Linked DNA regions of Arabidopsis thaliana. The protein of the gene in region 1 interacts with the protein of each later gene in a pairwise test. Each region holds a gene or a part of one and is shown in the gene's direction. Other genes may lie near its edges. The genes, in order: AT1G69170, MYB117, AT5G59990 and AT1G51580.

Region 1 (7,925 bases):
TCAAGAACTTCGTCACTTACATATTATTGATGAGCAACATTTGCCGACAGGAAAAACTAAGTGATGTTATATATGGTGATAGTCATTTGCGTTTGATAGTCATTGGGATAAAGCAAACATAATTAAAGAATGGGAACCAGATAATTATATATGGGACGACCAAATAATAAAGTTTGGCCGGCCGGTTAAGTTTTGGCTACTTGTTTTTTTCTTACATTTGTTGGTTAGTTATAAGTCCATTTTTTTTTTGTCGTCGCTTACGAGTCTTGCATGCAACTTATGGCGCCACTAGTTCTCAAATTAAATTTTGTATCTATAACATGATCAGAAAAAGACAAACAGACACAAATTGGGGACCAACAACGATCTCCACTTGCATTTTTTCATATTAGCTTAATAAATAATATTAGATGTTCCAATCTTCAAGTAGAAAGATCTACACACACAAAAACGAAATCTTGAGATCTAGTATTTTGAGTCCAATAGTAGTCGCCGAACTAACTAGAGAACTATAATTAATAAGAATTAATTAGAGAAATAGAATTATTAAGCAAACAAATAATCTAAAACATATGAGAACGCATGATAATCCGAAAATAAGGAGGTCATTTTTTAGCAGGTCCAAACTTAAGTTGTTTCGAACCTTACTGTTAAAGAATCTACTTGCATGATCATTCCTAAACATCAATATATTATTATAAGAACTAGCAACCAATAACTTAATCTAGTATCGCTAGACTTTTTTTGTTGTCCTGTCACGAGTTGTATCATAGAGCTTCGATAGAAATTGACAAAGTATAATTAGTGTTTTGGTTGAAGATTGATTTATCCTTAAAAGTATTCTGAATTGCATGCTTTAGATAATTGTATTAACAAATTAATCAAGGACAAAAGGATATCCAAAAGCTCTTTTCATGCATAGATTGCGCTTGCTTTTAGAGTTTTATTTATTAATGCATGCATAAGGCATAAGGAGTACTATAGATATATAGCGTTTTTATTTTTTGAATAACACCACTATATATATAGCCTTTCTAAGGATAATTATAAATGTATTGGTCGTACGTTAGATTAATATCCGACTAAAAACCTTTTTTGATTGTAACTTAAACCTCATTTAAATTTGTGTCTGTTTACTGTCAAAGATCTGTTGAAATTGAAAATTTGACTTAAGAAAAAAAAAACTAAATAGTGATACGAAATACATTTAATGAAAATTAGTCTTTTGTCTCATGCCAACAAAAGATAATTAATTCTACTTCAATCACACACTAGCTTGGTTAAAAAAATTATATATCTTGTTGTATTCATCTCAGAAACACTGTAATTATGTATATGTATGTAGGGAGATGTTTTTTTTTGGTTTTTTTTGTCAAAGACATATGTAGCGACATATGCTTTTTACTTTTAATATTTCAATCGGATAAAGAATTTTTTGTAAGAACAAAAGGTTTACTAAATAAACCGAACAAAGCAGATAAATGTATCCTACAATGAATTCATGCGCAGTGGCAACAAAAAGAAGGAAACAAAAGAAAAATACTCATGACGGTAGAAACAATGATACATGTCACCAATATAGACTAAAGTCGAGTATATAAAACGAATGAGTTAAAAAAAATAATGAAATGAATAAGTAATACATTGCTTTCTCCTATCATCTAATGGGTGGAGGGTCCAAACATGTGATTATCATAAAGTTGAGGTAATTATGCAAAGTAAAATTAATCTTACAAATAAAGACACTTAAAATAGTATGTTTGGAGTTTTGTTAGGTGAGATAATAACTAACGTCATATATGTTGTCACACATGTAATTTCAACAAATTTTTATTTATTATTCGATTTGGACCGATTATACTAAATTCAATTGCGTTTCGGTATTATTAGTCATGTGGTTAAAGAAAATTCCATGTGGTTAAAGGAAATTTTGTTTGGATCACAAAATATTTGGTTCAGTTTTTTTCCTTTTCTTATGTCTAATTTGAATAAAAAACAAACTCTGGTCTTCGATCTAAAATGTAAAGTTAGAACCTGAACTTTCTATCGTTCTCAAATACAATGATAGAAATCATGGCCAATCTTTTTGGTGCACACTCCATTGTCTGCACTCTGCACAGTAACTGTTACATCATGATTCATGGAATAGTATGTTTGAAATCTTTTGAGAGTTTTCGTGAAAATGGAAGAGACCCCGCTGGGCCGTAATTAATGGGCTTGAAATACGTCTTTGCTATGCTACGTAAATTGATGGACCTGGCTTTGCAAAATTGGAACCAACAAACAACTCTTTTTCACATATCCGTTTGTTTTAATTTTTTAACTTTTAAGTCTATGATCAGATTCAGATACACACATAATGTACGATCGAATATACTTACAACTTCTACATAGTAATATATGAGAACCGATCTAACTATATAAACTTAAAAAGTTATAATTTTACAGAAGAAGTATTAATAGCAAACAAGTGTTAAGTAATTAGGACTTAGCTTTAGATTCCATCACCTGAAAAGTGCGGTTGGTTGGCCAACAAGATATGCTCTGGCTCCCACCAAAAAGAAAAAAGAAAAGGGTTGATTTTGTAATAAAGCAAAAGGTTTGGGTAGCGTCAGAAGGCTTTGTCTACACACGCTCCACCACCAATCTCTTCAACTCGCTGATTCTCTAATATTTTATTTATTCTTTTTGCAACCCCAAAGTTTCTTTTTCTTTTGAGGAAACCCCCCCATACATTCTTCTTCTAACTTATGCTTTAATTTGGATATATATTCTTATTGAAACCGATTTATTTAAGAAGATTAAGCCCTTAAACAAATGTTTTCAAATTGCTATATAAAATACGCTTCCCCATGTTGTGTATTTCTTTTTTTTCTTAATCTTTACCATTTCAAAGCCGCCAACAAACAAAATAATTAACCAAAACGTGTTTGTTAGAATATAATCTAGAATATAACCCAAAATTATAAACTTTCGCTTTGGACGATGTTCATTGTGAATTCTAAATTCTTCATTGGTTTTGATTGTCGTCAACATATTTATATCATCATTTAACATTTGTTCGAGATAGTGTGAACACATAATTTTGGCTGTTCGTCTACAGTGTGAATACATGCCACATTGCCACCGTATTATTTGTATGTTATTTGTGACTCAACCAAGATTTTGTTTAGGTGCTGTTCCGAAAGCATCATCAAAAAAAAAAATGTGTACAAAGTTTATTAGGTTAGTTTTAACATAGCAATAACACTAAACTAAATAAACCTAAAATTAGTTTTATCACTAATTTTGATGGTAAAAAATAGGAGGCATGACGTCAACTTCTCCATTCTTAAATTCGATTTCTATAGAAACTTTTTTACTTCTACTTTTTTTTTTTGTTTTTTTACTTTTACTTGATCGAACAAAATAGTGTCGGAAAACAAACACAAATAAAATTTACAGGATGAAGAATAGAAAAAGAAAAAAAAAAAAGAAGCAAAAGAGAGAGAGAAGTGGAGAAGAAGATGGGTTTAGTGGAAATCATGTTGACCCCAAACAGTATCTGCTTCGACGTCACCTCTCACCTTATTCCTTCGATTCCCCATTTTTCACTTTTCTTATATTTTCTCCACCTCTCTGTCTCTTTTGCTTGCTTCCTATACACAGTTCTTCTCTGTTCCTCTAATCGGTAAGTCTTATTCTTCGATCCTCTGTTTATGATTTCGTTCACCTCAATTGCATTAGATGGAAGATAAGAAACTCGAAAATTTCGTCTTAATTTATTTGTTCCACTGATGATCATGTTGTGTGATTGCTTTCTTGATAAAGTATTGATTTTTATCTTTGTTTCTTGTTAGGGTTTGAATCTTTTCGTCAATTTCTATCTGGGTTTTGTGTTAATCGAAGGAATAAGTGAATCGTCGTCTTGGGTTTTCTCTATTTAGAAGAAAGCTTCCTCCTTTAGGGTTTCTGCATCAGTTATTGAATTGCTAGTTGTCGTTGAAGAAAGCAGAAATTGATTATAGTGTTGCTGATGGATTCTTGGAGCTACGGGAGAAGCGTTTTCATGTCAAATGAAACTCTTTTACCTTGTGATACTTTTGCTAAGAATAGAAGATTTGAACAGAGACTCTCTAATAATGATGATGTGTTGATTTCTGACATGGCTGGTAACTCCAATGGATTCAGTGCTGTTTCTATTACTAAAGTTGTTCCTGAAGAGGAAGATGAGGAGAACATATCTTCTTCTTCAAAGTTCTCTAGTCAGGAATTGAATAGGATAGATTTCAAACTTAGGAGCTTTTTGGATTTAGGAAATGATGATGATGATACATCCTCTAGAGGTTTTGCTCTGCCATCTAAAAAGTCTCGAGCTTCAAACTTGTGCTCTCAGAATCCCTTGTGTCAAGTTTATGGGTGTAGTAAGGATCTGAGCTCTTCGAAAGATTACCACAAAAGGCATAGAGTTTGCGAGGCTCATTCGAAAACTTCTGTGGTCATAGTTAATGGTCTTGAACAGAGGTTTTGTCAACAGTGCAGCAGGTTTTATTCTTTCTCCTCTCAAGTTGTCTCATGCTCTGTAGTCATTTCAATGTTCTTGATGGATCTTGATCGTTTGTTTCTTTTACCTTTTTCTTCTGTTCAGGTTTCATTTCCTCTCAGAGTTTGATGATGGCAAAAGAAGTTGCAGAAGGCGATTAGCCGGTCACAATGAACGAAGAAGGAAACCTGCATTCTATTTCCTACCGGGTAAGCGCCATAAGCTTCTTCGCACCTCTCAAGGTACTCACTCTCTGCCTTTTCCCTATCCATTGATGTATTGAATTAGCAAACTCGTGCAAATTTGAATCTATTCTGTATTTTATGATCTTCCATAGATGTAGTAGGCAACAAGTTTCTGGAGAATTCATCATTGGTATTGCCAGAGTCATTTCCTGGTAGTCTCTTATACAGAGTAATAGATGAAGACGACCACCGTACAAGTAGACTCGTGAGTTTCAAAGATGAACCTACTTGTTCCATGTTTCCTACTAATGAGCAAAACAGCAGCAGAACTTATGAATCTAAACCAGCAATTTATTCCACGGAAGTATCCTCCATTTGGGACTTACATGAGACGGCGGCATCACGCTCTACTCGTGCTCTCTCTCTTCTGTCAGCTCAGTCCCAACAACACTTGTCTAAGTTTCCAAACACAACGTTCTCAATCACCCAACCCAACCAAAATCTCAATCACTCATCATCAACTGACTATCATCAGATGGAACAACCGTTGTGGATCGATCCTGGCAAGACCAATTCTGCTGGTTCTAGTTCTTGTAAAGGAAAAGGAACATCCACGGTTGATCTACTGCAACTGTCATCACATCTTCAAAGAATCGAGCAACAGAGGAATTACACTGGTGATGTGAAGCAGGAATATAATGAGCTTTATTTCCCTGGCTCCTAATAAAAGGTTACAACATTCTTATTCCTTTAAACCGGTTCGAGTTTCTTGAGATTGTTCTGCAGAAGGACAAGACAAGCCTGCATGGCTTGATTAGTTTGTGATTAGATAGAGGAATTAAGAGGATCAGATCATGTTACACGTATTATTGTAATTTGTAACTGTTGTGTTATTATTCACCAGTCAATAATGTTCTGAAGAAAATTGCTTCAGATATCTATGCCTACTTCCTTTTCACAGCGTTACAGACAATTTGTATATATACATGTAATGAATATTCGCTGAAAAAGTGAATTTTTACTTTTGTTTTGTTTTGTTCTGTACACTCACGTCATCTGAGGACTGATCTGAGATTCTCGAGTTCGAAGTTACGATGTTGAAAGTTGCAAATCATTGGGGAAAAGAAAAAGTGTCCCAGATGGAATTAAGGAATACGCATATAAAATTTTGATAGGATTAAGACAAATAAAGACCAGACATAAACGTCCAAAGGGACATAGCAAGTGACGTTACTTTCAAATCTAAAGACAGACAGAAATATAAAGTCATAAAAACTAAGGCAACATCATTTTCTGCAACATGACATACATAAGAAAATTACACAGAAGAACAACACAAGATGAGAAAAACGACGCAGCCACTCGCACACGTGCATGCGTTTGTTATTTTTAGGCTTCTTTTCCCCTGAGTTTTGTTCACTTCTTCTCACCGAATCCCAAGCCCTAATTGAACAAAACATTTTAAATCTTTATATAATGTATATAAATATGTCCTTATGCAGACTTAGTTTGTATAGCTTACATGGATCATGTTGTGGCCTCCGGAAGTAATGGAAGTAGGAGAGTTGGGTATGTACTTAGCCCACTGTTTGTGACATTTTTCATTTACACAAACGAAATTGTGAAAAAATAATATTAAAGGTGACAACAATGGTTGGTAACAAAAAGAGACTTGTCTTACATTTTTGGCAGCAGCACTGAAAGCTTCACGGTGTGGTATTTCCGGATTGGCACTTTTGATGCGTTGGATCTCATCCCTTTTTATATTTTGTTTCAAAAAAAGATGAAGAAGAGTACTAAATTATATTTATTTTTTATGCATTAAATTTCATAATTAACTTGGAACTAAAGAGTATATGTCAAAGGTTAAACCTCATGAAGCGGTTGTATGCAGATGGGAGCCTCTGCTTCTTCTCAGGAGCTACAATACCAAAGATGTTCAACAGATAATCATATATATGTAGATAGTGATTAAGTTTATAGAAGAAAAAGGAGTCAGAAATGGTAATAAGCTTAATTACGTTTGACGACAAAGGGAGGTGAGGGAGATGGGGGCTGGTCGCTGGAGGTGGAGGAAGAGGAAGAAGAAGAGCTTCCCTTCTTATAGTCACTTCCACCAAAGCTCTGCATCTGCTTAGTTAAAACAAAGATTGGCTTAGTATCAGTTTTTTGTATAAAAAGAATTATACTCGTATGTATAACTATAACACAAGTGTTATATACCTGAAGGGTGAGGCTAACATGGCCTTGAAGAGGAGGAGTTGTGGTGAGAAACGAGAGGTTACCACAATGGCCGCATTTCACCGTTACCGTGTCAAGCATTCTCTTCAATGGTATCCCAACCTATATATGTGTGTAGATTCGGTTTACAAATTAGCTCGAAAATTTGAAGAAATATATATATATATAACATAAACAACAATATGTATAGCTTAGCATGTATGTGATATTATCAACATATATAGGGTCATGCAAGTATATATATGCTTATATATCTTCTTATATGTAGGTAATAATTTACCGCGAGGATGGTGTTGCAGATGCTACACCGGACGTAGTAGAGATGTTCGGCTTGAGGGGAAGCCCTTGAAGCCGTCATGGTTGGTTTCTCTTCTAGGTTCATGGTCTTTAGCGAATGGATTGAAAACCGCTCTTGAAAGAAAGAGAGAGAGAGAAAGAATCAGAAGAACTTTGTAGAGTTAGGGTTATGCTTATTTTATGAGTTAGGAGGCTTGTATTTATAGAACAATCATAGTGAGACCATGACATATATATATATAGAGAGAGAGAGAGAGCGATACAGATTGTCAAAGTGTTGGACGTGTATATGCAGTCCATAATTGCATTTTTATTGTTTATTTTAACAACATTTAATATCATCTTATCAAAAAAAAAAAAAATGAATATCTTAAACTAATGACTTCTGGTGTAGACACGAGTTTCTAATGGTGACATTATGTGTTTTCTTTTTTTTTTCGTTCTTTTTTTTTGTTAAAGACATTATGTGTTTTCGTTGGATATTTACTTGCTATATATTCTATTTTGTAATCACTGTAAATGTTTTAAAAGATAAAACAAATTGGATCAACAAGTTCGATGATATTAATCTACGTTTCCGCATAAAATTTCTCTGGATATAAAGAAGGAAAAAAAATGATATCATTAAGCTGGCTAGGGATTGCAAGAAAAATTACAAATGTATATTAAACTGATATTTA
Region 2 (7,418 bases), about 17 Mb from region 1:
TATTTTATAAAAACATTAGTTATCTTAATAGTTGAAAAATCTCGTTGATAGGACGATTAATTTTTTATTTGATTTGCATAAAGTAATTGATCTTTGTTGTTCACAAAATAACGTGATTGATTAGCATTTGAAATTATTTGATTAATTGACAAGTTAATATTTATAATTAAACTCATGGGTGAAACGAAATGCATATCTATAGCTAATTTATTTATAGCTAGCGTCTTAAAAATCCATTGAATGACATATATATTTTGGTGATGTAATCCTAATATTTATAACATTGTACACGTAACCTTCTAGTTTTATATTAGTCTAAATACTTTACGAACTCAACATAGGCAAAATCCAAACTAGTTCGATTTTGTTTTGTTCTATAGTTTTCTCTTTTCTAAGCAAGTATATTCCCTAAGTGTTCGTGATTGTTCGATAGATTTATTGTGATCGTGCGTGGGTGTAGTACGATAAGGAGAATACACGTGATGGTTGTGCGACATCACACGCCAAAATCGGACCATGGGGACGCATCACAGTTGAAGAGAAAAGACTTCTCCTTTGAATTGAATTGGATCCTATGTTACTCTAAATGTGCACGTGTTCATCATCTCCACCTCTCATTATCATTACCAATCCTTATTCTTGATTTAAAACGGATTTTAATTTTCAAAGAACTCAATGTTTACTTGCATTGACTACTAATTATTGAGGACATCTAAAATATCTAAGAAAAAAAACTCTTGTTAATCAATAAAAAAAGATCCCATATGTAAGTAATTTTATTTCTTTGCTTTTTTATTCTTAGTCTAAGATCACTAATCACATAACATATTACATATAGATGGATGCCACGTCAGAAAAGAGTCTATTTGAAAGCGAACTTTTCTTTCGAGTAAAACACAAACCTGACCAAACGTGTAACAAAATTAAACATTATCGTACAAGGGGACATTGTAACACATGAATAACTAAGGTTGATAAAATTTGTAGACGGACATAAAGAATTCCAAGAAAAGTGAATTAGGTGAAATTTAAATGGGCTATGGGGTCAAAGAATGGTCGAGAAAATAAAAATTAGATTATGTCAGACGAGTAAAATTGAGCTTTGGATTAATTCCAACGTTTTAGTGATTCCTTATTACACATTTGATGTATTTTTGTGACAAACTGACAAAAGTATATATTAATGCTATGTTGAAAAAGGTATGTTCAAGCTTGTAATCAATTTTGGACTGAGTCACGCATGGACCGTAGCTAATATATCCACCGAAACGGATTGACCATGAGATCGCAATCTATTTTATACCTCAGATAATTTTTGTCCCCTCACTATATGAGCTTTACATACATCTGTTTCCAGAGTAATTTAGTTGCTTATTCTGTTAGTCACTCCCTAAAACAAGCTACTACACTCGATCAAGCAGTAACATCAAACTCCTTTAATCTTCCAAGTTAGACTCTCTTCTTACTTTTCAAGGTATGTTTAAATATTTAACATGTTTATAAATAATTCCATGTGTAAATAGAACATATGTTTTTAATAACTTAGTATTTTAGACGAAAGAATCGAAAATCTAGTACTAGTCTACTGGATATAAACAAAGTAACAAGATAGATTCATAGCCCAAAACAAAAGAACAACCAAATCGAAGTCCCACTTTAGCTAGTGGCTCTACTTACAAACAAACATAATTAATAGTGTGTTTCACCATATTTTATTTCATCATTTCATTTTAAACGGTAAAAAAAAACTGATTACAATTTTTATAAATGTTTGTTCTGCAAAATATAAAATTAAATAAAGCTGCATAACTTTCTGTTTCATAAAATTATATAGTTCATATATACTTCTTCACCCAACCTTTTATTTCATATTTCATATATAATATTAATGTGTATTTCAAAGTGATTGACCAATTAAAAAGAAAATATGACGAAGAGAAAGAGAGTTTGTAGTGCGTTCGGTTAAATCTCTGTGCAGAGGATCGTACAGTTCTGAGACCCCTTTTGTATCTGTATTTATCCCATATTTAATGGTTACGTCTGCCAATTGGGATTTCTGGTCAAATACGAAAAGGTCTTAAAAGTTATTTCTTTACATTTTTACTGTTCATTCTCATTACTTATACACACTTCCACACGGCCACATTCCTCATGTATGTGGGATATTTAGGGTTGAGAGTTTTTTTGAATTGGCATTGTAATATCTCGTTATTAAAAACCATGAGACTGCTACAAAGAATAAAACAGTCAAAATTTCAAGATTATTTGATACAACATGACAAGGAGAAAATGAGTATATTGAAGCGATGTTTAATTAAGAAAAAAATTGAATGAAGAAAAAAGATTGTGGTTAATTTTTTAAGATAAGAGAGGGTTTCACAGAAACAAAAATGGTAGTAAAAAGTAAAGGAATGAAAGACAAGTGGAGATTAAGAGAGAAAGAGGTAAATTTTAAGGAACCCAAAATGAAATGAAAGAAAAAGCTGTCTGAGAATTGGTTGTGCTAAGAAGAGACCCGACTCATTCCCCAATGGTAAACTCTCTTTTTGCCTTCATCCTTTTTTGGTAGTTAGTTCTGCTTCAGCTTTTTTTCTTTCATCTCATTAGCTTTTATTATTTTCACCTTGCACCTATAAAACATGCATTGATTAATAGAGGATAAATTTCACCTAATAACGGTAAGATTCATTTCGGACTCGTCCAAGATATTCTCTACATTCATTGTTTTTTAGGTCGACACTCCCAACATTAATTTATTTTGTCATAATCCATTGGTTTTCATTAAATAAAAGAGGAAATACTATCTTATACATCAAACTAAGATAAACATTAATTATTCATAAAAGTAGGAAATTTGTATAAGGAACCATAGAGAAGCAGCGTAATTAATGTTATCGTTTGATTATGAACCCTAATACGACTATAAAACTATTGCATACTTTTCAATTACTATCAATCTATGGACATGGAAAAAAACTTGGTCTTCAAATCTTAGTTACTTTTAAATTTAATAAATGATTTATCAGAAAAACTCTTTAACTTCTATGAAACTAGGTACACCTGAACAAATGTATAACAGTCCACAGCAAAATCGAATATCGATAATACACATTTGTACTTACTTATTACAGTAGTGTATATGTAATATATATAATAATGTATAAATGCAAAGAACTCTGTCGTTTGAATTAGTCCGTGACGACGGTCCATAACCCTTTTTAACAGTCGTCAGAAAACACGGTCGCGACATGTACATACACGCACATACCTAAAGCCATACGTAACAAACACACCATTATATACAAAAGATATTCTATTATTTTTAAAAAATAATATTTATGACACACATTTACGTACGTGTATATATAATATGCAAATGCACTCACATAAGTCTTTCTCCTCCGATGGTATATGTCTATAAGCTGACGTGACATCTCTCTTAATTCTCAATAACACTTCTCTTCTTCTTCCTTTCTCCCAACACTAACTCCATGTTTATAACGGAAAAACAAGTGTGGATGGATGAGATCGTCGCAAGAAGAGCTTCTTCTTCTTGGGACTTCCCTTTCAACGACATTAATATTCATCAGCATCATCATCGTCACTGCAACACAAGTCATGAGTTTGAAATCTTGAAGAGTCCTCTTGGAGATGTAGCGGTTCACGAAGAAGAGAGTAATAATAATAACCCTAATTTCAGTAACAGCGAGAGTGGTAAGAAGGAGACAACAGATAGTGGTCAGTCTTGGTCCTCGTCGTCTTCAAAACCATCGGTCTTGGGGAGAGGACATTGGAGACCAGCTGAAGATGTTAAACTCAAAGAGCTTGTCTCCATTTACGGCCCACAAAACTGGAACCTCATAGCTGAAAAGCTTCAAGGAAGATCTGGTAAGTTAAATCAAAACCTTATTTATTTTCTATTTCTTTTGACAGCAAGTTAAATCAAAACCTTATAGATCTTCAAAATTTCATCAAAACCAGTTTGTTTGATTCATCTGGATCTGTCAAGTTCTTAAGATCCGGTGATAAAATCAATTTTTGTTTTTATTAGTTTTCTTGGTCTTTAGCCTTCTATGTCCAATCTAAGTCCTAACGTAATTTTTTTTGAGTTTTATTAACTTAATCTTGATTGTTTTTAAAGGGAAGAGCTGTAGACTACGATGGTTTAACCAATTGGACCCGAGGATAAACCGAAGAGCTTTCACAGAAGAAGAAGAGGAGAGGCTGATGCAAGCACATAGGCTTTATGGTAACAAATGGGCAATGATTGCGAGGCTTTTCCCTGGTAGAACTGATAATTCAGTGAAGAACCATTGGCATGTTGTCATGGCTCGTAAGTATAGAGAACACTCTTCTGCTTACCGTAGGAGAAAGCTTATGAGTAATAATCCACTTAAACCTCACCTCACCAATAATCATCATCCTAACCCTAACCCTAATTACCACTCTTTTATCTCCACTAATCATTACTTCGCTCAGCCTTTCCCCGAGTTTAATTTGACTCATCACCTGGTTAATAATGCCCCTATCACGAGTGACCATAACCAGCTTGTGTTGCCTTTCCATTGCTTTCAAGGTAGCCTATAGCTCTTCCTCCTCTTTCAATAGTTTTTTCAATTGTCTTTTGCATATTTTGAACTCTTTTTTGGTTTTTGTTATATCTACAACGTTCAGGTTATGAGAACAATGAACCTCCGATGGTTGTGAGTATGTTTGGCAACCAAATGATGGTCGGCGATAACGTTGGTGCCACGTCAGACGCGTTATGCAATATTCCGCACATTGACCCTAGTAACCAAGAGAAACCGGAGCCAAATGATGCAATGCATTGGATCGGAATGGACGCGGTAGATGAGGAGGTGTTCGAAAAGGCTAAGCAGCAACCACATTTTTTCGATTTTCTTGGCTTGGGGACGGCGTGAATGTTGAACAAATTGGTGTTAATCAGATAACGACAGTGGTTAAATTTGGTTACAAAAAAAATAGCATTTAGCTTTAGTAGCTAGAAAACAAACAAACCAGATCCTAGCCTTTGTCCTTGCGTTTACGTTAATTACTAAACTGTAGATTGTTGTTGTTGGCACTTGGTTGTCTAGTGTAACATTTGATAAGTCATTGTTTTTAGTAGTACTCGTTCAGAAATATTTAACAAAGAGAGATTGGTTTTAAAAAGTTGATTCTTTTATGATGAAGTGACGTGAAATATTGCTAAAGACGTGTTGAGAATAACAACGAGAGAGAGAGAGAGAGAAGGGAAATTAAAAAGAGTGGAGTTTCTAGGAGTTGGAGAAAGAGACGAAGATGCGTAATTAAGAGAAGAGGAACTGCCAAAATTGAGGCAGAGATTGTGCAACAGAAAGGCCAAACATGAAACATGCTCACCAAATCTCACACACACATTGCATTTGTTTCTTCTCTTCAAACCGTTTTTCCAACTCTTCAAGCTTCTTACCTATGTATCTCTCTCATGTCACGCGGACCCACACATGCCCTTCTTTCTTGTAATTCTTTCCATGTTGTAGATATAAAAGAAAAATTTAAATTGAATTGTTCTTTTGTATAGTTTTGGTTGGGTTAAAAAAAAAGGAAAAAAATTAGTTTTGGTTTTGAATATGAGTTTTTAAAATAATATATAACGTGGATAAATGTATGGGTTTTTCGGATTTTGAAAGGTTGTTGTAGAGAAGATTTTTAATTTACCCATTGGGTCTGAAATTGCTTCAATAGGCCCAATCTATTTCGGAGATGTTCTCGAGTCTCTCTTTTTGGGAACAAACATCCGAGTGAAGTCAATATTAAGTGATTTTCGAAAAGATAAAAACTATTCTAAAACTAATTAACATTTTTCCACTCATTTTAGTAATTCTCCCAAAGTAAAGTGCTTAAAGAGAGGGGGAAAAAAGTGCTTAAAGTGTTTTCTTCTTATTGTTTCCCTTTATACGCAAATGAAGAGACTTATTTTATTTTCAAAGAAAGAGACTTTTATGTTTCTCCTTTAGCTTTTAGTTTGTACCAATCAGATGGATTCTGTACCAAGGACTCCAAGTTAAGATTCTCTACTTTTTCTCCTTTACATGAAAATTCACACATATGTTTTTTTTCCAATTAATTTATACACTAGTACTACAAAATACAAATAATGGAGTAAACAATATTTTCGAACCACATTTACCAAAAAAGACATTACACTTCAGCATTTCCATCTGTTTGGATAATCTACAAAATGGGGATTGTGGTATATAAATAAGATAGATATTAAAAGTTAATTCATCACACAAAAAAAGGTATCTACAAAGTTTCTTTTCTCCTTTAACGTTATATGCTCTCTCTGAAGTTCATAGATCTTGCCATGGCTGCAGGGTTTGCTTGCAGGTTAAGATACGTTTCAGGGACGAATCTGTTGTTGCTGCTCTTTGTTTCAGCTCCATTACTGAAAAAGCTGAATTCTTGTGTCTTCTCGCGGGTCATCGGTACTGGATACCACACATGGTTATTTGTAGCCATACTTGTTTCATTTTTGATGCTCTGAGATTCCAAAAGCAAGCTTGTTCTCTCAAAAGCATTTTTACTCTCTTTAACAGTTTCATGAGAAGTTTCGTCTCTTGTCCTTTTCCCAAGACATGTAGAAGTGTCGAGGGTAGACCAAACCGGTATCGCGCAGCCCCAGTAGACGGGCATGTGGTAGAAACTAGGGTTTGGAGGGTATTGGTAAGGCCAAGGAGGCGAAACAGGGGATGCTTGGGGAGGAAGTAACCCTTGGAAGTTGTTGGGTTCTTGTGAAACAGGTTCAGCGTTTATCTTCACTTCGTTTGATTGATGCTTAGGCCTCTCAGTTACCAAAGAGTCCGAAGACTCGAAGCTTAGAATCTTTGTTGAGGAGCTATTGTAATTGTCAGTATCCTCGGAAGTGATGTGCAGGTACTGGTCTGAAGAAACCCATCCCTTGTTCTTGCGACGGCCTGAGCCAACCGGGACGATCCTCATGGATCCACCAGCGGTCCAATACCTCTGGCATTTTCTACAGAAGTGACGTGGCTGGTTAACGTTGTAGTTGTTGTAGTAACAGAATTTGGTGTCTGCGCTGTTGCATCTCGGACATGGAAGAATCTTGTCTGGTTTCTTCAGTTCAGTTGTTTTCTCTTCTTCCGATGTAATTGTTGTGATCTCGCTGTGTTGGTCATCACTGTTCTCAGATGTTTCTTTTGACTCGTTGTTAAGATTAGATGACAGCTTAAGACTTGTATTGTCAGTAACAGATTGGTTATTCATCTGAAAAAAATTGAAGGAACTTGGATTAGGATTAACATCATGAACTAGTTTCAAACTGATACAAGGACTAGAGAAAATATTAAATCTTTAGCATTTCTTAACAAATAAAGGTAAGACCATGAAACATACCATGTGTGGTCGAAGTGATA
Region 3 (8,056 bases), on another chromosome or scaffold:
TTGGACTATATTATTTGCATATTGCCATTAATATATTGTAAAATCAAACATCTCGCATAATACCATGAAAAAGTTTTGTATGCATACTATACGTTGTTTATGTATGAATTCATGCTATAAAGTCAAAATGCAAATTCATATTTTCACCAAATGTAGTAGTAGTAGTAACGTTTTCACACGATTATATTAATTTCAGTTTTAAGTTCATTTTATAGTATTACTTATATTTATTTATATAATTTCATTAGTAATAGGAATAAATACTAAAATATATATCTCCCCTATTCTATCATCGTTTTCATGAACCGTTGACCTTCTTGAAACTACAACTAGGTATATAATTGTTGTGTGCAAATAACCAAAGTGGGTTACTGAGAGACTTGCGAAAGTATAAAACCAATAATTTGCTCCAGTGGTGGTAAGAAATGCAAAAACAAAAACACTATTTATTAAAAACAAAAAGAACAATTCTTATTGGATCGTTAAAACTCGAAACTAGTTATGAACCAACCATAGCATGAAACGTTTTGTTTTTGGTACATTATGCTACAAAGTTTACCACCAAATAGAAAAAGTCTTCGTTACCATCGATTGATCTATAGATTTTGCTTTTGCATGACCTTTCCCATCAACTTGTGGCTATTTTGCCCTTAAGGATACACAAAATGTCTTTCTAATTAGTCCCATAGTACATCTATCCACTGTTGGAATCGAGATCCTATGTCCTCGTAACGATTGCGAATTATTATTTATGTCTCTACATTATGTGGGGCAACTTTGTTTTAAGTTTTGAAATGTCTTCAACGTTCCCTAAAAAATGTTTGCAAAACACAGCTAGTATATTTAGAAATTACAATAAGAGTGGTGGATACGGAACAAACACAAATCGACATTAATGTTTGTACGTTGACGATAAAAAGAAGAGTAATCGATAAAAAAAAACTATAGATAATCCCAATAGATGATGGTTTAGTGTTGTTTGAAAATACTCTCTCAAAATGAGATTTACAGCTCTCTTCCTACTAATTGACCTGTTTAGAGGAGACTAATTTACATGCTCTAGTTTCCGGCGCATAAAAAATGAAAGTTTGTGTTAATCAAAGAAAAAAAATATAACTAATTTTTATTTCGTTGATTCTAATGGACCTACATTCCGATCCTCTTAAGTGAAAAAGATGCTTTCGTACCCCATAAATAAAATAAAATTATATATTTGGCTTAGAGAAGTGATATCGACGAGAAAAAATTCTTCAAATAAATTTATCGACGGACCCATATTGTATATATAGAATGTAATGGAGAAGAACAATCATTTCCCCTAATACAAGGGAAGATTGTATACACATTTCAGGAGGAAGACTATCTAAGTTAGTGCACTTTTGTTAATTTTGGTTCAAATTTAGGTTTTAGATGTAACAAATTTGATTTTTCATTTTTGGTTCGGTTTGTTACCATCATCCAAATGAAATATTTTGGATACATATAGATATATAATCATTTTAGTTTAAACTTGGATTGGACTGAATTAGATAAATATAATCAATATCATCTAGTAGTAATAATGTGATATGTGGGTTAATTTTTCTACTAAACAAACACCACGAGTTGGGTTGATATTATGTATCCTCATTATGGAGTGAGGCTTAAACAGGAAATTATAAGTTGTTTTGTTCTTAAATGAGTGATTATGTATTATGTATGATGATGATGATGAGTAGGCCAATTTAGTGACTGACTACAACGTGTTCCTACAATATATTGGTATATATGCAGTGATCCTACTATTCGAATTTCGTTCTTGGAATGTAACTAATCGTAAACAAAATATCTATAAAAAAAAACAATATTTATATACTTTACCGTAGGGGTAGCTATGTATAACTCGTTTGAGATATTCTCTCGATATGTTACCTAAATCGATTTGATTCCAAACAAAAAATTCTGGCTAATTAACCTGACTAATCATGGATTGGAACAGATATACAATTCATATACAGAGCAGTACTATCGTGTCTTGTCTGGTTAATTATCCGGACCGGACTAAACACCCGTTTAATGTGAACATAACCAAAGCAATCAAGTATCTGAGCTTAATTAATTATTACTGTTGATTAAGTTAATGATTAATTAGGCAAAAAAGTAGATTTGTATGCTGCTCACATGGGTTTGCGTGAAATAATGCTTTTAACCATCTTTTTGTCTCTCCTATACAATTCGAGCTAAAAAGCTAAGTCGTGTCCTTTATTTTATTTTATTTTTCTTTACATTGTTCTTTTGCTGTTATGATTTATGAATGTTGCACGAGATGTTATCTATCTACTATTTTAAAACACAATTGTATATTTTTTTTCGTCAAGGACTTGAAGTTAAAACACAATTGCTTACGAAAATATCAGTAAATTTACTGTTTCAAGAAATGATTATGCCTTCCATTTTACAACAATTATCGTTGTGAAATTCTTAATACATTAAAAAATGTTATAACGCCATTTAGTTTGAAACGTAAATGTGTTAAAGAGATTGAAAAAAAAGAAAGAGTTTACTAATTATAAAATTCAATATAATAACAATTTTTTTGAAATTCAATATAATTAGTATTTTTTTTTTTGAATACCAAGAGGTTTTGGACTGAAACCCGTAATCCCTCCGTACCCGAAACTACAGCATATAATATTACTTTTGTTCTAAACGTCATTCGAACTGGCGATCTCTAAGTTTCGTCTAGGGTTTTTACTAATTGAATTAACAACACTTGGTTATAATTAGTAATTATTTGTCACTAGCTTTCTTCCTCTGTATTTATAATTGATAGCATATTAATCAGTAACCTATATATAAGTAAGTATATTTGAATTTTTGTTTTTAGTAGTAGTTCTATTTTTAATGAAAACATTTTTAAACCTAAATGAAAAAATAATTATCATTTTTGTTCAACTATCCAAATTCACCTTCGTATAATACATGTCGGATTCAATTTCGTGTAATATATGTCGTTTGAAGAATAACGGGTGAGAGTGAGATAGAAGCGACCTGAAAACGAAAGGCAACTCTTTTTATACCTAAAGATTCCTTTTTTCCTAGTCAGTCAAAAGAAGTCAACGGTTAAGTCAGTTGACTTCAGATGACGATTAATGACGTCAGCATCAGTCCTTCCTCTGTTAAATAGAAACCAAACCACTTCGAGTTTCACTCACTCACACACACACACATAAACAAACACACAAAGACACATAAACACCACAATAAACTAAAACCCACCATGTGTGGACACGTCAGCACTTCTATAACCTCCGGCGACAACTGTCCATGTTTTCTATACTCCGACGACATAGTGGCTCCTCCTCAGCTGCTTGATCATCATCATCATCAGTTCCCGCCTCCGCCTTTGGCGCTTCTTATGATGAGCCAAAACTCTCTATACGCGGCCGAGGCGGTTTCAGGGTTCGGTTACTTTGATTCCGGCATGAACGGTGGTGGTGGAAGCAGCAGCTGCGACTCGCCAAGCTCTATGGGGAGTGGCGGAGAGAGTCTTGTTATGCAGAGGAGTGTTAGTAGCCATAATGGCTTTTCCGGTAATTACACAGCGGCCCATGATTTCGTTAACGATGATGATGGGCCAGTGAGACGGGCCCTTAGCGCCGGAGATCTACCCGTAAGTAATATTATATACACACTTGCAGTTTCGAGATTTCAAACGTTAACTTTTATGTTTTCGTTTACGTATGAAATTTTTCACATTTTATAAAACGAAACATTATATTGTTGGTTTGTTTTATGGTTTTGCAAGAGTGTAAAATGAAAACACCAAAACACAAATAAATTATCTAAACATACTAAAATTTGGGGTTTTATTTGAAAATAATAATAATTCTATCATAACATAAGACGACACTGTTTTGGTATGTGTGTAGAGGAGTAGCAGAAGAGAGAGCAGTACGGTGTGGAGTGAGAGCAATGCAATAATAGAAGGAATGAGCAAAGCCTACAAGTATAGTCCTGAGGAGAAGAAAGAAAAGATCGAGAAATATCGTAGCAAACGAAACCTTAGGAATTTCAACAAGAGGATTAAGGTAATTTTATAAATGTTTTACAGTTGTTTCTTTGTTCTAAACTGTTTGTTAGCATAAATTCTTATATCTTATTTTAACATATAAGAATTTATCATTTGATTCATATTGTTCTTCATCACATAGAGTCCATGTACACCTAACCTATATTATATATTCAACATGTGTATATATGTGTCGCATGGAAAACTTTTGAGGACTTGACATGTACAGTAGTTGTATGGAACAGTGACATGCACCTTCACATATATTGATGCAACCATTTTCTAATCAAGCATACAATTTCCTATAAATTTCTTCATTAATCAACTAATAATGATTTCTGTATAATTTCATACACAAGAGCATATATAAATGTCTATTTTCTTAAAATCAAATGTATAAGATATCTTTTCTTAGTAATACTGTTTTTTTTTCACATTTAATACAAAACTAAATGGTTCGTTGACCAAAAAAAAAAAAAAAAACAGGCTCAATGTATCATATCAATCACTCTTATCACTAAAAAGTAACATTGAATTTTTCTTTTCAATCTTATCTTCAAACATAAATAGAATTTCATCTGATATATATGAGTATGTGAACGAGAATTAATGTTCTGTCACATCATATTTGGGTCTAAGGAATCCTTTGAGATAGACACATCAAGCTCCAAGGTTGCTACAAGTTTTTTTCTCCATTAGTTTTTTCTTACAAGAAGGTCCACAAATATATTTCATTGCTAATTAAAGATCGGATTGGAGTATTCATGTACTAACATATTCAAACCGTATCTCAATGAGATATTTCTGCTCGCGTTATAATTTTTTGACCGACAAGTTTTGACTTGTGAATGATCTAAAAACTATCACAATACTTTGGGACAGGTTTAATAATAATCTTTTATCTTTCTATTAGTACGAATGCAGGAAGACATTAGCGGACAGTAGGCCAAGAATAAGAGGGAGATTTGCAAGAAATGATGAGATCTCACAACAAGAACAAGTTGATGTTATGGAAGCCGTGGTAGGAGATGTCGACACGTGGGCATCTTTTCTTGATTCTTTCTCTGCTAATCACTTCCTCAACTAATTTAATCTCTTCTATGTTTGTTTTTCTTATATATGTTTATATATGGCACTTTAATTTGTTTTGGTTTAAAAGATTTCCCCATGTTGCTAAACTCATGTGTAGGTTTTGTGTTATCTTTGTATATAAGAATAACATATCTTGTATTTTTGATCTGAGATATTTGCAAACTAATCCTTTTTCACTGGCCATACAATTCTGCATGAGTGGTATATGCCACTTTGTCAATTGACGATTGCAATTGTCTTAGCATGGCACTGAGTTCTATAAGTGAGATAAATGGGGTTTTAGATAGGTTAAAGGCAAAACAAAACGATATTCACCTATTGAGAACAAAGTGGATTTGAGATAAAACGTCGTCGCCGTATTAGATCCGTCATTTAAATTCGGTAGTCCATAAGTGAGTTGCAAACGATATACATAAAACAATTAAAAATATCGAACTCCAACTAAAACAAATTGATTACACATCGTTAATGTATATGGACCCTTAAATAGTTAATGTATAGTTTAGTATGTTCCTTAATGGTCTGATTTTTCTTTTACCAACTTGATTTACAAAAGTATTTAGAAAGTACAAAGATGATAACTTTTAGCATTGAAAAACATATAATGAACACATGGCCATGTTACTTTGATGATTTCATAATACTCTCACGTTGATTACACATCGTGCTAAGTACTAGCAATCTCCAAAGGTAAACATATATTATATACCTTAAGAATTCTTAAGATATCAAAGAAGCTTCCACTCAAATAAACTAACTTAAAGTAATCAACCCATACATTCATTCTCATAAGTCAGTATATAAAAAAAGCTAGAGGAAAACATACTAGCAATTATTTTTGCCAAAAAAAAAAGCTATGGAAAAGTTTCTCAGCACTTTTGATATTTTGCAAGAAAAAATGTTACTTTGATTGTAAGACTATATTATTTTCCAACAGTAACAAAAATCATTTATTTTTATTTAAAAGTGAAAATAATTTGAATGTTAGGCATCTTTAGTAATAAGAGAATAATTTTTCTCACAAGTAGGTAATTAGTAATAATGTGAAGAATAATGCTTCTCAATTAGATTATAAATAAAGTAGTTTTGAAAAAGGAAAGAGAGCAGTCTTTCTTCTTTAGCAATGGCTATGGAGGGAGATGTAGGCCCTCCGGCGACATTGTCCCCGACTTTTGTCGGCCGGCGGTAGATTTACCGACTCCTCCACTCTTAAATCTTTTTAACTTTTTTTTTTCCTTTTTAATATTTTAACTAAAAGCCTTTTTCTTGAACACGAGTACACAAAGAATCAACTCTAGAGAATAAATTAGATTCTTTCTTTCCCCCATTTTATAATCGGTTCAAAAATGAAACCACGAGACTTGCGTGGGTATAAATTAATGGACAAAACTTGTACTTATAAGAATGATCAAGCTCTTCAATGTTTTCTTTTTTTACTGATCCTTTTGAACCTTGATTGAAGTAGAAAAGGCTTGAAAGGCCTTAGTTGCGGTAAACGAACTCTACTCCTCTTAGCTTGCGTCTTACCTACATTATGGATTGATATAACATTAGACTGAAATCTATACTCCAAACTTATGTGTTAGGTTAGATTTGCAAATGAGGAAACTTAGATCTCGTACCTGATTTTGTGTCATTGTTATTTTCAGAGGATTGGACTTGGGCTTGGTGACTAGCTTCGGTTTCAGTCTTTTCAACCTTCTCGTCTTCAATTGTTAACTCTTCGACCTTATTGTCTTCCATTGTTATCTCAAAGGTGTTGTGGTTTGGAACTGATGCCTCTTCCTCGAGCTTTGTCTCATCGGACTCTAGTCTTGATGCTTCGTCATGGTCTTGCACAACCGCATCTGGACTGAGAGATTTACCTGATTCACTTAGCAAATCGGTAGTCTCAGAGGATAAGTTAGGAAGAATAATCTTACTGTCACCTGTTTCATGCATCTGGTCTTCCATTGTGACCTCCATGTACTCGTCGTGATTTGCTTCCGAAGAACAATCAATTTTCATCTCATCAGCAATGGATGTGAGGTGTTCAGGCTCAGGGATATGCTTCTCATCATCAATGGATGCGTGGTGTCCAGACTCAGTGATATGCATCTCATCATTACTAGCATGACCAGTAGTAGCTCTTTCTTTGCTGTTTTCGTCCACTGAGGCTTCTTCTTCAAAAGCAGCATTTCCCATGTTATTCACTTCAACAGGACTTTGTGGGATCCCATGATCGCTTTTTGACGGTGACATTGATCCACCTTCGGAAGTCGACTCAATATTCATGCTAACATCCGACGCTGCTTCTGACTTTGTACATCTTGTCAGTGTAAAGGGAGTAGCCGTCTGATTTTGCACCAAAATCCCCTGGCCATGGCTGGCACTGCATTTCCTTAGGGCAAATGCTTCTTCTTTGAGGACATTTGTAGTAGGTTCCACCTTATTGTCATCTTCAGACATCAGCATGTCAATTTGGCTTATGGTTTCAATTTCCCGAAGGTTATCATCAGATGAAGCTGTGGCCATACGTAGTTCAGAAACTTGATTACTACTGTGCACCTGAGTGTCAATCACCTTAGCTGCAGAAGGCTGAGTCACTGATTCAGTTCCTACAATATCCTTAACCCGGAAACCATGTTTTGGCAAGCCATCAAGAACAGAGGTGAAATCAATCGCCTTCGAGGATTTGTGCGCCACAACATTTGTGGCATCAAAAGCCTTTGCAAGATCATCCAAAAGCATGTCACCTTCACCGCTCGAAAGGCGATCCCATTTCATGCAATCTTCAGACAGAGGCTGTTCGAGGCTAAAAGTATCACCAGCAGAAAGTAATTCAACCCTGACAGCTTCTTTGTGAAACCGTTTTTTCTTTAAAACCTTGGCTATCATATTCCTGAAAGCAATTTAAAATCCATTCTCAATGAC
Region 4 (8,589 bases), 6.9 Mb from region 1:
TCTTTCTTGAAATGGAGAAATCTTAAGTAACTCAGAGCATGCAATCAGTTCTTGCTGGAAGCCTCCTGAAGAAGTTAAGTGGAACTGATGGGAGCTTGTACCTGAGCCTCGGGTGTCTAAGCACATACAAGCCAATGGCAAAAGCCACAACCTGGAAGGGAGTTATATATAAAATCACTGCAGCTATCAGACAGAACAAGACGAAGAGAGCAGTGGCACGCGGGTCACGCCAGCTTAGCAACGACTGAAATCTCTCTCCTTGAGTTGCAAGATCACCAACAACTGTTTGAATCCTACCAGCAATGCTTCTGAGTCGGTCATATCTCATCCTGACGATGTCTGATGGTCGGGAAGTAGGGAAAGTGTCAAACTCCTCGTCGAGCTCATCAGGGTGTGCTGAGTCAGCGTGTGAGAGACGTGTGTCCATGTGTGGAGGATGTCTCGGCCTCCAGCGATAGTACCAAACTCCAATCAAGAAGAGGTAGAGGAAAATGGTGGGCAAGATGAGCTCGGGGTAGATAACAAGGATAATGAAGAGAATGTGGATTAAAACCGTTGTTATCGGATTTTTCCATACGCAGATCTGTTCAAACCATTTCCCTACAGCGATTATCCCACTCAAGACTCCCATTATCCTGAAGAAATTCGCCTTGCTTCTACGCATACTCCACATGTGAGATCCCACATCAAGCATATACTCAACAACTTCTTTCCTCAAAGGCGGCTCTGCTCGTGTTAGCCTTGTCGACACAATCTGAGTTGCTTGATGCCTTAAGTTATCGAGCTGGCTAACCGTGAGGGGATGGAGGTAGTGCATCTTAGGTAAGAGAGGCATAGAATACATATACATCATGTTGAGCAATGAAGAGCAAGTAAACCTCACCGCTAAGTGAATCTCTCCCATTTTCTTGACTCCACTAGGATGTAGCACCAAAAGAGGATATGAATGTGTGTAGACTCGATCAGCCTCGAGAGTAGAGAGCCTTATCCTCACCTTTCCAATTCTTGAATCTTTTCCTCCTCCGTTGTTTTTGTCACCACCGTGTAGATGGCAGTTATCGAACACACCAACTGTAACTACAGTACACGGATCAAAAACCTCCCAAGTATATTGCTCGTTCCATCTTGGGGTAAAGCTGTCAATAATTGTCCGAGTTCTGATCCATTTCTGCCCATACTTTGCCACACAATACGCGTCCGTGGTTCCCCTACCACCTTCTTTAGCTTTCATGGGCATTAAACCGGTCGCATTTAAGACCCCTAGCTCAAGCACACCGATGTTAGGCTTCCACAGTTGCTTTGCAGTTGGTCTTAGGTCACTACTGTAATGTGTAGACTCATCAAGCACATGATACCCTCCTTCCAAACAAATCCTCATGTGGATCTTGCTGGCGAATTTGATCTCTTTCTTCTCTCCTCCTTCCATTATAACATGCTTCTCAAGGTTAAACCACCTGCTGTTCACCGGTCTATAGTCAAACCTTTTGTCCAAATACTGCAACGGAACCGCGCATCTCCCCAAGACTTCATCTTTATTCGGCGCAACTCTATCTTCCACACTTAGAATCAAAGGCTCTTCAAACGGCTCAGCTACAACAAACATCAAATCCTCATTCCACATCGGATTAATACTCCTGCTTTGTGACACTCTAGTCCTCAATGCCTGATTTCCCATTATCACTTTCACAAAGACTTCAGGATATCTCCCTTTATCGCTCGGTATCAAATCCTGAGCTTCAATGACATTAACCCTAAGATACCAAAGCTTAGGAGAGAGATAAACCTTAGATCTGATGTTAGCTAAAGCATCAGTTCCACTAACAGTTGCAGCATCAGAGTGCCAAGCTTCAGGAAAAGCTTCATCAGCTTGAGTACCAAACCAAACAGCTAACATAAGCTCTCCTTTAACTTTTTGGCCTTTCCCATCTTCTAATCTATACCATTGTGGAGCTAAAGGACTATCAGGAGGAACTCTCTTAGGTATCTCATTCAAATCAAACACAACACGACCAATCAAATCATCTTTAACTAAATCTTTATCCTTGACAGTAGCTTCAAGATAAGAAGCTTGTACCCTATCTTTAGAAAAGGCGAAAACTTGGTTCCACTCAGGATTAGATTTCTTCTCGAAATGTCTAGTGGTTCCTCTGTAGTTACCAAGCTTAACTTCAACGTAAGGGTCACAACTACCAGTTAAGTCTTTACCTGGTAATTCTTTAGCCTTTACGACACGAACATAGAGATACTGCATTTGCTCGACGAGGTCATATGTGGTTGTGAGCTTATCTCCGGTGACTTTGCCTCCACCGAGATGAGGTTTTGTCTCCTTTAAGGAGAAATCTTCAGGAGGTGGTCTCTGCATCTTTGAAACTAGTAAAGTTTGGATTTTTTCTTCTTTCAGAAACACTAGATCTATAAGTTAGATCTTCAAAACAAACAAACAACCCCAGAAAACGATTTACACCAGAAATCTCAGAATCTGCTTAACATTAAACCCCCAAAAAAAGAAAGAAGTAAAGAAGAATCCTTTCTTCTTCTTCCTCGTAAAATCAGAAGATAAGCATTGAGAGAGTTTTAGAAAGAGATAGAGAGAAAGGACTGTAGTGAGAGAAAAGTAAAACACATTGAAGTAGAGTGGTGAAGGTTTTCTTGTCTTCTTCTTCCTTTTGCTTTTTTTTTTTTTGCTCTTTTCGATTTTTGTTTTAAATTCAAAATGATTTTATGAGTTGGCAGAAAGAAAAAAAAAAAGGCCAATAAGTGAAAAACATTTTCTTCATAATCATGAAATTTGATTTGAAAAGGACTACACAATATAAATTTTTATTTCTTTCTCTCCTTTTTTAAGTACGAAAATATGAATAGAACTTTTATTTCAAATAATACTCAAAAGTCTCACATACTATGGCAATTCTCAAAAATACCTAAATTGAGTATTATTGTTCCACAAATACTGTCACTAGTTTTTTTCTCAAAACATACCACAAAACAAAAACTAGATTTTAAACTTTCAAAACTAAATCCTAAACCGTAAAAATAAACTCTAAATCCTAACAACAAATTCTAAACTCAAAAGTTTAAATTATAAACCTTGAAAAATTAATTTTGGTGTTTGTAATAAATTTGGAACAAAATTTTTGTTGTAGTATTTTCGAAAAAATAAACTCATTAAAATATTTTTGGAAAAGAGAAAAAACATAGTTTAGTGGTATTTTATAAAACAGATTTTAAAACATTTAAGAGCCTTTGAGTTAAACTCAAAACGACGTTGTTAAGCTTATTCGACTAATGGAGTTCTCTACCTCAAAACGTCCGGCGACGACAGCGACGGCGGCGGAGTCTGTACATTTCCGTCTTCTCTGTCCGGCAACAAGAACTGGTGCAATAATCGGAAAAGGCGGCTCAGTCATTCGACACCTCCAATCTGTAACCGGTTCAAAAATCCGCGTCATCGATGATATTCCCGTTCCTTCAGAAGAGCGTGTAGTGTTGATAATCGCACCTAGTGGAAAGAAGAAGGACGAATCGAATGTGTGTGATTCCGAAAACCCTGGCTCTGAAGAGCCTAAGCAAGAGAAAGGGAGCGAGTGTGCGGGGACTAGTGGTGGAGATGACGAGGAAGCGCCGTCGTCGGCGCAGATGGCTTTACTTAGGGTTTTCGAAAGAATAGTGTTTGGCGATGACGCTGCTACGGTTGATGGTGATGAATTGGATAAAGGTGAGAGTGAAGGTTTGTGTAGGATGATTGTTAGAGGTAATCAAGTAGATTACTTGATGAGTAAAGGAGGGAAGATGATTCAGAAGATTAGAGAAGATAGTGGAGCTATTGTTAGGATCTCATCTACTGATCAGATTCCTCCTTGTGCTTTCCCTGGAGATGTTGTGATTCAGGTATACACAGCTTCTTGTGTCTTTGTGGCTATTCAATTTATAGAGCTTTTTTGGCTGATTTAGTAATGTTTTTGTATGAAGATGAATGGAAAGTTTTCGAGTGTGAAGAAGGCGCTTTTGTTGGTTACAAACTGTCTTCAAGAAAGTGGTGCACCTCCAACATGGGACGAGTGTCCGTTTCCGCAGCCTGGTTATCCGCCTGAGTATCATTCTATGGAGTATCATCCTCAATGGGATCATCCTCCTCCTAATCCAATGCCTGAAGATGTTGGACCCTTTAATAGACCGGTTGTTGAAGAGGAGGTTGCGTTCAGGTTGTTATGCCCGGCTGATAAAGTTGGAAGCTTGATTGGGAAAGGTGGAGCTGTGGTGCGAGCTCTGCAAAACGAAAGCGGTGCGTCAATCAAGGTTTCGGATCCAACTCATGATTCAGAGGAGCGGATTATTGTGATATCGGCACGAGAGGTATGTTGATTTGCTCCATGGATTTGGTTTATGTATATCATTGGATACTTTGTCTCATTGGTTTACATTGTTGTAGAACTTGGAGAGAAGGCACTCTCTTGCCCAAGATGGTGTGATGCGTGTGCATAATAGAATTGTTGAGATTGGATTTGAACCTAGTGCTGCTGTTGTTGCCCGGCTTCTTGTACATTCTCCATATATCGGACGTCTATTGGGTAAAGGGGGTCATTTGATAAGTGAAATGAGGAGAGCAACTGGTGCTAGCATCCGCGTCTTTGCGAAAGATCAAGCTACAAAGTATGAATCACAACATGATGAGATTGTTCAGGTAAATTTTATATAACATCCGCGGCCTCGATAAGTTTTTCAACTCTGTAGTTTTCTTGTTATTTGACACCTTTTTGCTGGATTGGCAGGTCATTGGTAATTTGAAAACTGTTCAAGATGCTTTGTTCCAAATATTATGTAGGCTTCGGGAAGCAATGTTTCCTGGAAGACTTCCTTTTCAAGGAATGGGTGGTCCACCTCCGCCGTTCATGGGTCCGTATCCAGAACCGCCTCCCCCATTTGGACCGAGACAATATCCAGCTTCTCCAGATCGTTACCATTCTCCAGTAGGACCATTCCATGGTATTTCATCAATTTCCGACCCATGATCACCAGTTGATACATGCATCAATCTCAGTTTCTTAATAATGTCTACTTGTTACATATGATACAGAGAGGCATTGTCATGGTCCTGGATTTGATAGGCCACCTGGTCCTGGATTTGACAGGCCACCTTCCCCAATGTCTTGGACCCCGCAGGTATGTGAACTCAATGATCTTTATTCCTTCGTTAGCTGTCATGTCCTTTTATTTCTTTCTAATTCAACATTTCTCAATCGCCAGCCGGGAATCGATGGCCATCCCGGTGGTATGGTTCCTCCTGATGTGAACCATGGATTTGCTTTGAGAAATGAGCCCATTGGCAGGTATCACTTTCCCGGCGCTGTCTTTGTTCACTTTAAAACTAAATGACTTTGAAATGCCAGAAACTGTACGAAGGAATTTTATCCACTAATTTCACATTATTGCCTTTTGGTTATGGTGTTGGCAGCGAGAATCCAGTAATGACAAGTGCAAATGTGGAGATTGTGATTCCTCAAGCATACTTAGGTCATGTCTATGGTGAGAACTGCAGTAACCTGAATTACATCAAACAGGTATGTTGCCGATAATATATGAGCAGCTGGTCATTTTGAAAGGCTGCATCTGATTACCGTTTGTAAACCTAATCAACTAGGTATCAGGAGCGAATGTGGTTGTGCATGATCCAAAGGCAGGGACTACAGAAGGACTGGTGGTTGTCTCAGGCACATCGGATCAAGCTCACTTTGCTCAAAGCCTTCTTCATGCTTTTATTCTCTGTGGTCAATCTTGATTGCTCTCTTTTCAAAGTGTGTACAATTTTAACATGATAGTAAAAAAAAGCTCTTCTACAAATCCAAAAATCATAGGAAACAGTAAAGTACCTCTACAAATTGCTGTGGCAAAAACGTTGTCCATCTGTTCTTTAAACTGATACAACAATGTGCCTCAAACTTTGTGGTAATATATAATAATATCAAATTCCATTTGAGCAGAAACTGTCTACTAAACGTTAATCTGATGACCAAACTTCCTCTGGCGTAGTGCTATAGTTGGCTTACGCGGATCATTCCGTGCCACAATCTTAAGCGGATGGGCTTCTGTGTTGAAAACCCACTCGTCTAATGAAATAACAGATGAAGGCGAAAAGAGAAGATATAGATACTTAAGAGTCTCAGCTAAGAAGAAGCTTTGCATCTTGTTGTCTTTAGCACCTGTATTGACCTGAAAATGAAGAAGCAAACGTTAACAACGTGTTTCCGAAAGATGGAAAGGCCCACTCGAGGAGGGTATCTGATTGGTTAAGGTCAGCCCGGCTCGAAACTTACATCCTTCAAGCCTACATATCCAGATTCTACGCGAGAGTTCTTCTCAAATGCTTGAAATATATTCCATCCCCACTCTTGATATGTCTTGTTCCCAGTTAATCGCCAGAGGTAAAACAGTGATTCAACGGTTTCTGGTCTTAAAATGTTCCAAGATGTGCCAACACTCATGTCCTGAAACAATCATGTGCTTATGGATACGACATAACCAACCAACTAACATACAAACAGATGCGCAAAAAGTATTTACCAACCTGCCCTGCAGTGAAGAAATAGTTCTCTCCAGCAAGTTTCGTTGGTGTCGATTGGTAAAAGTTATAACAAGTCCAGGCAAGCTGCAGTAAAGTGAGGGAAACAGCAATAAGGACACAGCAGAAAGTTATACTCAACATACAATTGAGATTCTAAGGCACCTCTCCAGCAAGTGAAAGAAACTTTTTTTCTTCATCAGGGCCATAACCTGAAGCTCCTAAAGCCAACATTCCAGGAGCAAAGCACGCCAATTCATCCATCTGAATGTTGAAATTATGTCAAAACCAACAAAATTCTCAAAGTAGAGAGTTGAAATTAGAATAGTTTTTACCTTATCAATCAAATTATTTCCGTTCTTCTCACATATATACGTAAATGATGAAGGTGTTGATTTCTTGACCAAGCTTAACAAACCTTTCATTGATTTCTCCCACATATCTCTGATTCAATACATTAAGAAAGATTTAGTCCTTATCCTTTATTGCTGATATTGAATTACTTGGGTGTATATACACAGCGTCGAGCTTTACTTACCTATAGGGTTTCACGGCAGATGTTTTGTTCCCTTGCACCCAAACTTTGAGCAAATACTCATAAAAGCTGTAAAACCAAATTATTATTAAAAGTTAGAGAGCAAAGTCATGGTCACAAGACCCGACCAACACAAAATGAAAATTTGGAGGAAGAAACTACCTATCTCCCATGGCACCAAATGTTGTGGTAGAGTACGATGGATTAGCATTATCCGGATTTATATAGATGGGAAGTAAACCATCAGCAGGAAAGTTCTTATTCAGTTCTGTAATAACCTTCTCTACCTGAGAGACATGAGTTAGCAAACGTGTCAATCTTGAGCAGCCAATATTTTCTTCAGCATTAATGCAGATTGATTGCCCACTTTTTCACACCGAGTTAGGATATAAAGAAAATCTGTTGGACAAACTCAAAATTAGTATCTACCTTCTGCTGATATTTTGGGTCCCCTGTCCTTTGGGAAAGGGCAATAAACTCGAGCTGCTCAGTGCCGGAGTCTGCGAGAATACTGTCTCCCTAGTAAAACAAAAAAAAAGTGTAGCAATCAGTAAAACTGACACAGCACATGTCCTCAATGAAACTGAAACATATCTAAACCTGATCACACTTGGTACTCATTTCAAAGACACTGCATATGATTGCTAGTGAATATATAGTTAGTTAAGAAACTATAGCTACCATAAACTCTAAACGTAACACCTGTTTAAAAGTCTAGACCCCAAACAAGAATGTTAATTGTTGCATACAGAGAAACCATAACTTGGCTGTTTCTGCCGAGTCCAGATCTTAGTTTTTATACGGGGTTGAATCATCTAAGAAAGTGGTCAGAACTTGGATTTAAGCTATCAAATAGACTCTAAGGAGTCCTTTAGAAACATAATCAGGAACCTAAGTCAACTACAGAACAAGTGCACAGAGTTTCAGGAGCCATTTTTTCTAGAAACGAATAAAGATTTGTATCCAATCATTGGATTCCAAGGTTAGGCTTTAAAAAGATCTACATGACACAAGATGACACAATACAACATACACGGCACTCAGTAATCTAGGACTCACCCCTGCCGCCCATGAAGGATTGTGAGCATTTCCATTTCTCAAGTTGATAATATTGTAAGGTATACCCGTTGGAGTATTCCATGCAGGCAATAATCTGTCTGCAATATCCTTAGCCTTTTCAAGGAACATTTTGTCCCCAGAAAGATCATACGCACTAAGAAGTCCGCCTACAACTCTGAAGGCAGATAAAGAAAAAGAATATAAGCAGATGCAATATCCGTTCCCCATCTTATGTCACCAACTGATAATCGCAAATAAACTGACTCTTCCTACGATAATTACAGAAAACAACCACAGTAAACCTGTTAAAGCCACCTTATGGTTGTCTCAAACATACTGGCGTCATAATCCTTGTCGAAATCCAATGAGCTTGCAACCCACCTGCAAATAAAAGACAATAAGCAAATGAAGATTAGCAAAGATGAAGAAGTAAAAAGTT

Evidence for each region.
Region 2: the proteins of AT1G69170 (region 1) and MYB117 interact in a two-hybrid assay, tested with the Arabidopsis thaliana proteins (one large-scale study listed by BioGRID).
Region 3: the proteins of AT1G69170 (region 1) and AT5G59990 interact in a two-hybrid assay, tested with the Arabidopsis thaliana proteins (one large-scale study listed by BioGRID).
Region 4: the proteins of AT1G69170 (region 1) and AT1G51580 interact in a two-hybrid assay, tested with the Arabidopsis thaliana proteins (one large-scale study listed by BioGRID).

Annotation. Positions count from the first base shown.
Region 1 is NC_003070.9:26,001,611-26,009,535, forward strand, and holds AT1G69170 (Squamosa promoter-binding protein-like (SBP domain) transcription factor family protein), read left to right. Parts: upstream 1-3,457; 5' UTR 3,458-3,670; intron 3,671-3,839; 5' UTR 3,840-4,015; coding exon 4,016-4,524; intron 4,525-4,627; coding exon 4,628-4,764; intron 4,765-4,859; coding exon 4,860-5,431; 3' UTR 5,432-5,758; downstream 5,759-7,925. Other genes in the region: CRC (Plant-specific transcription factor YABBY family protein), read right to left, coding at 6,124-6,150, 6,230-6,292, 6,389-6,464, 6,580-6,628, 6,729-6,837, 6,931-7,050, 7,229-7,330. UniProt on the Arabidopsis thaliana protein: Trans-acting factor that binds specifically to the consensus nucleotide sequence 5'-TNCGTACAA-3'.
Region 2 is NC_003070.9:9,267,542-9,274,959, forward strand, and holds MYB117 (myb domain protein 117), read left to right. Parts: upstream 1-3,410; 5' UTR 3,411-3,491; coding exon 3,492-3,888; intron 3,889-4,141; coding exon 4,142-4,576; coding exon of another isoform or gene 4,577-4,587; intron 4,588-4,674; coding exon 4,675-4,922; 3' UTR 4,923-5,172; downstream 5,173-7,418. Other genes in the region: AT1G26790 (Dof-type zinc finger DNA-binding family protein), read right to left, coding at 6,316-7,269, 7,399-7,418. UniProt on the Arabidopsis thaliana protein: Probable transcription factor that involved in boundary specification, meristem initiation and maintenance, and organ patterning.
Region 3 is NC_003076.8:24,148,288-24,156,343, reverse strand, and holds AT5G59990 (CCT motif family protein), read left to right. Parts: upstream 1-3,142; 5' UTR 3,143-3,259; coding exon 3,260-3,652; intron 3,653-3,911; coding exon 3,912-4,070; coding exon of another isoform or gene 4,071-4,082; exon of another isoform or gene 4,083-4,493; intron 4,494-4,964; coding exon 4,965-5,138; 3' UTR 5,139-5,410; downstream 5,411-8,056. Other genes in the region: GAF1 (Polymerase/histidinol phosphatase-like protein), read right to left, coding at 6,561-6,670, 6,766-8,024.
Region 4 is NC_003070.9:19,122,327-19,130,915, forward strand, and holds AT1G51580 (RNA-binding KH domain-containing protein), read left to right. Parts: upstream 1-3,256; 5' UTR 3,257-3,285; coding exon 3,286-3,888; intron 3,889-3,969; coding exon 3,970-4,353; intron 4,354-4,429; coding exon 4,430-4,681; intron 4,682-4,769; coding exon 4,770-4,983; intron 4,984-5,074; coding exon 5,075-5,160; intron 5,161-5,244; coding exon 5,245-5,327; intron 5,328-5,452; coding exon 5,453-5,558; intron 5,559-5,638; coding exon 5,639-5,776; 3' UTR 5,777-5,835; downstream 5,836-8,589. Other genes in the region: AT1G51570 (Calcium-dependent lipid-binding (CaLB domain) plant phosphoribosyltransferase family protein), read right to left, coding at 32-2,362; MNS1 (alpha-mannosidase 1), read right to left, coding at 5,989-6,207, 6,312-6,482, 6,563-6,643, 6,722-6,820, 6,892-7,000, 7,095-7,160, 7,254-7,378, 7,521-7,610 and 2 more.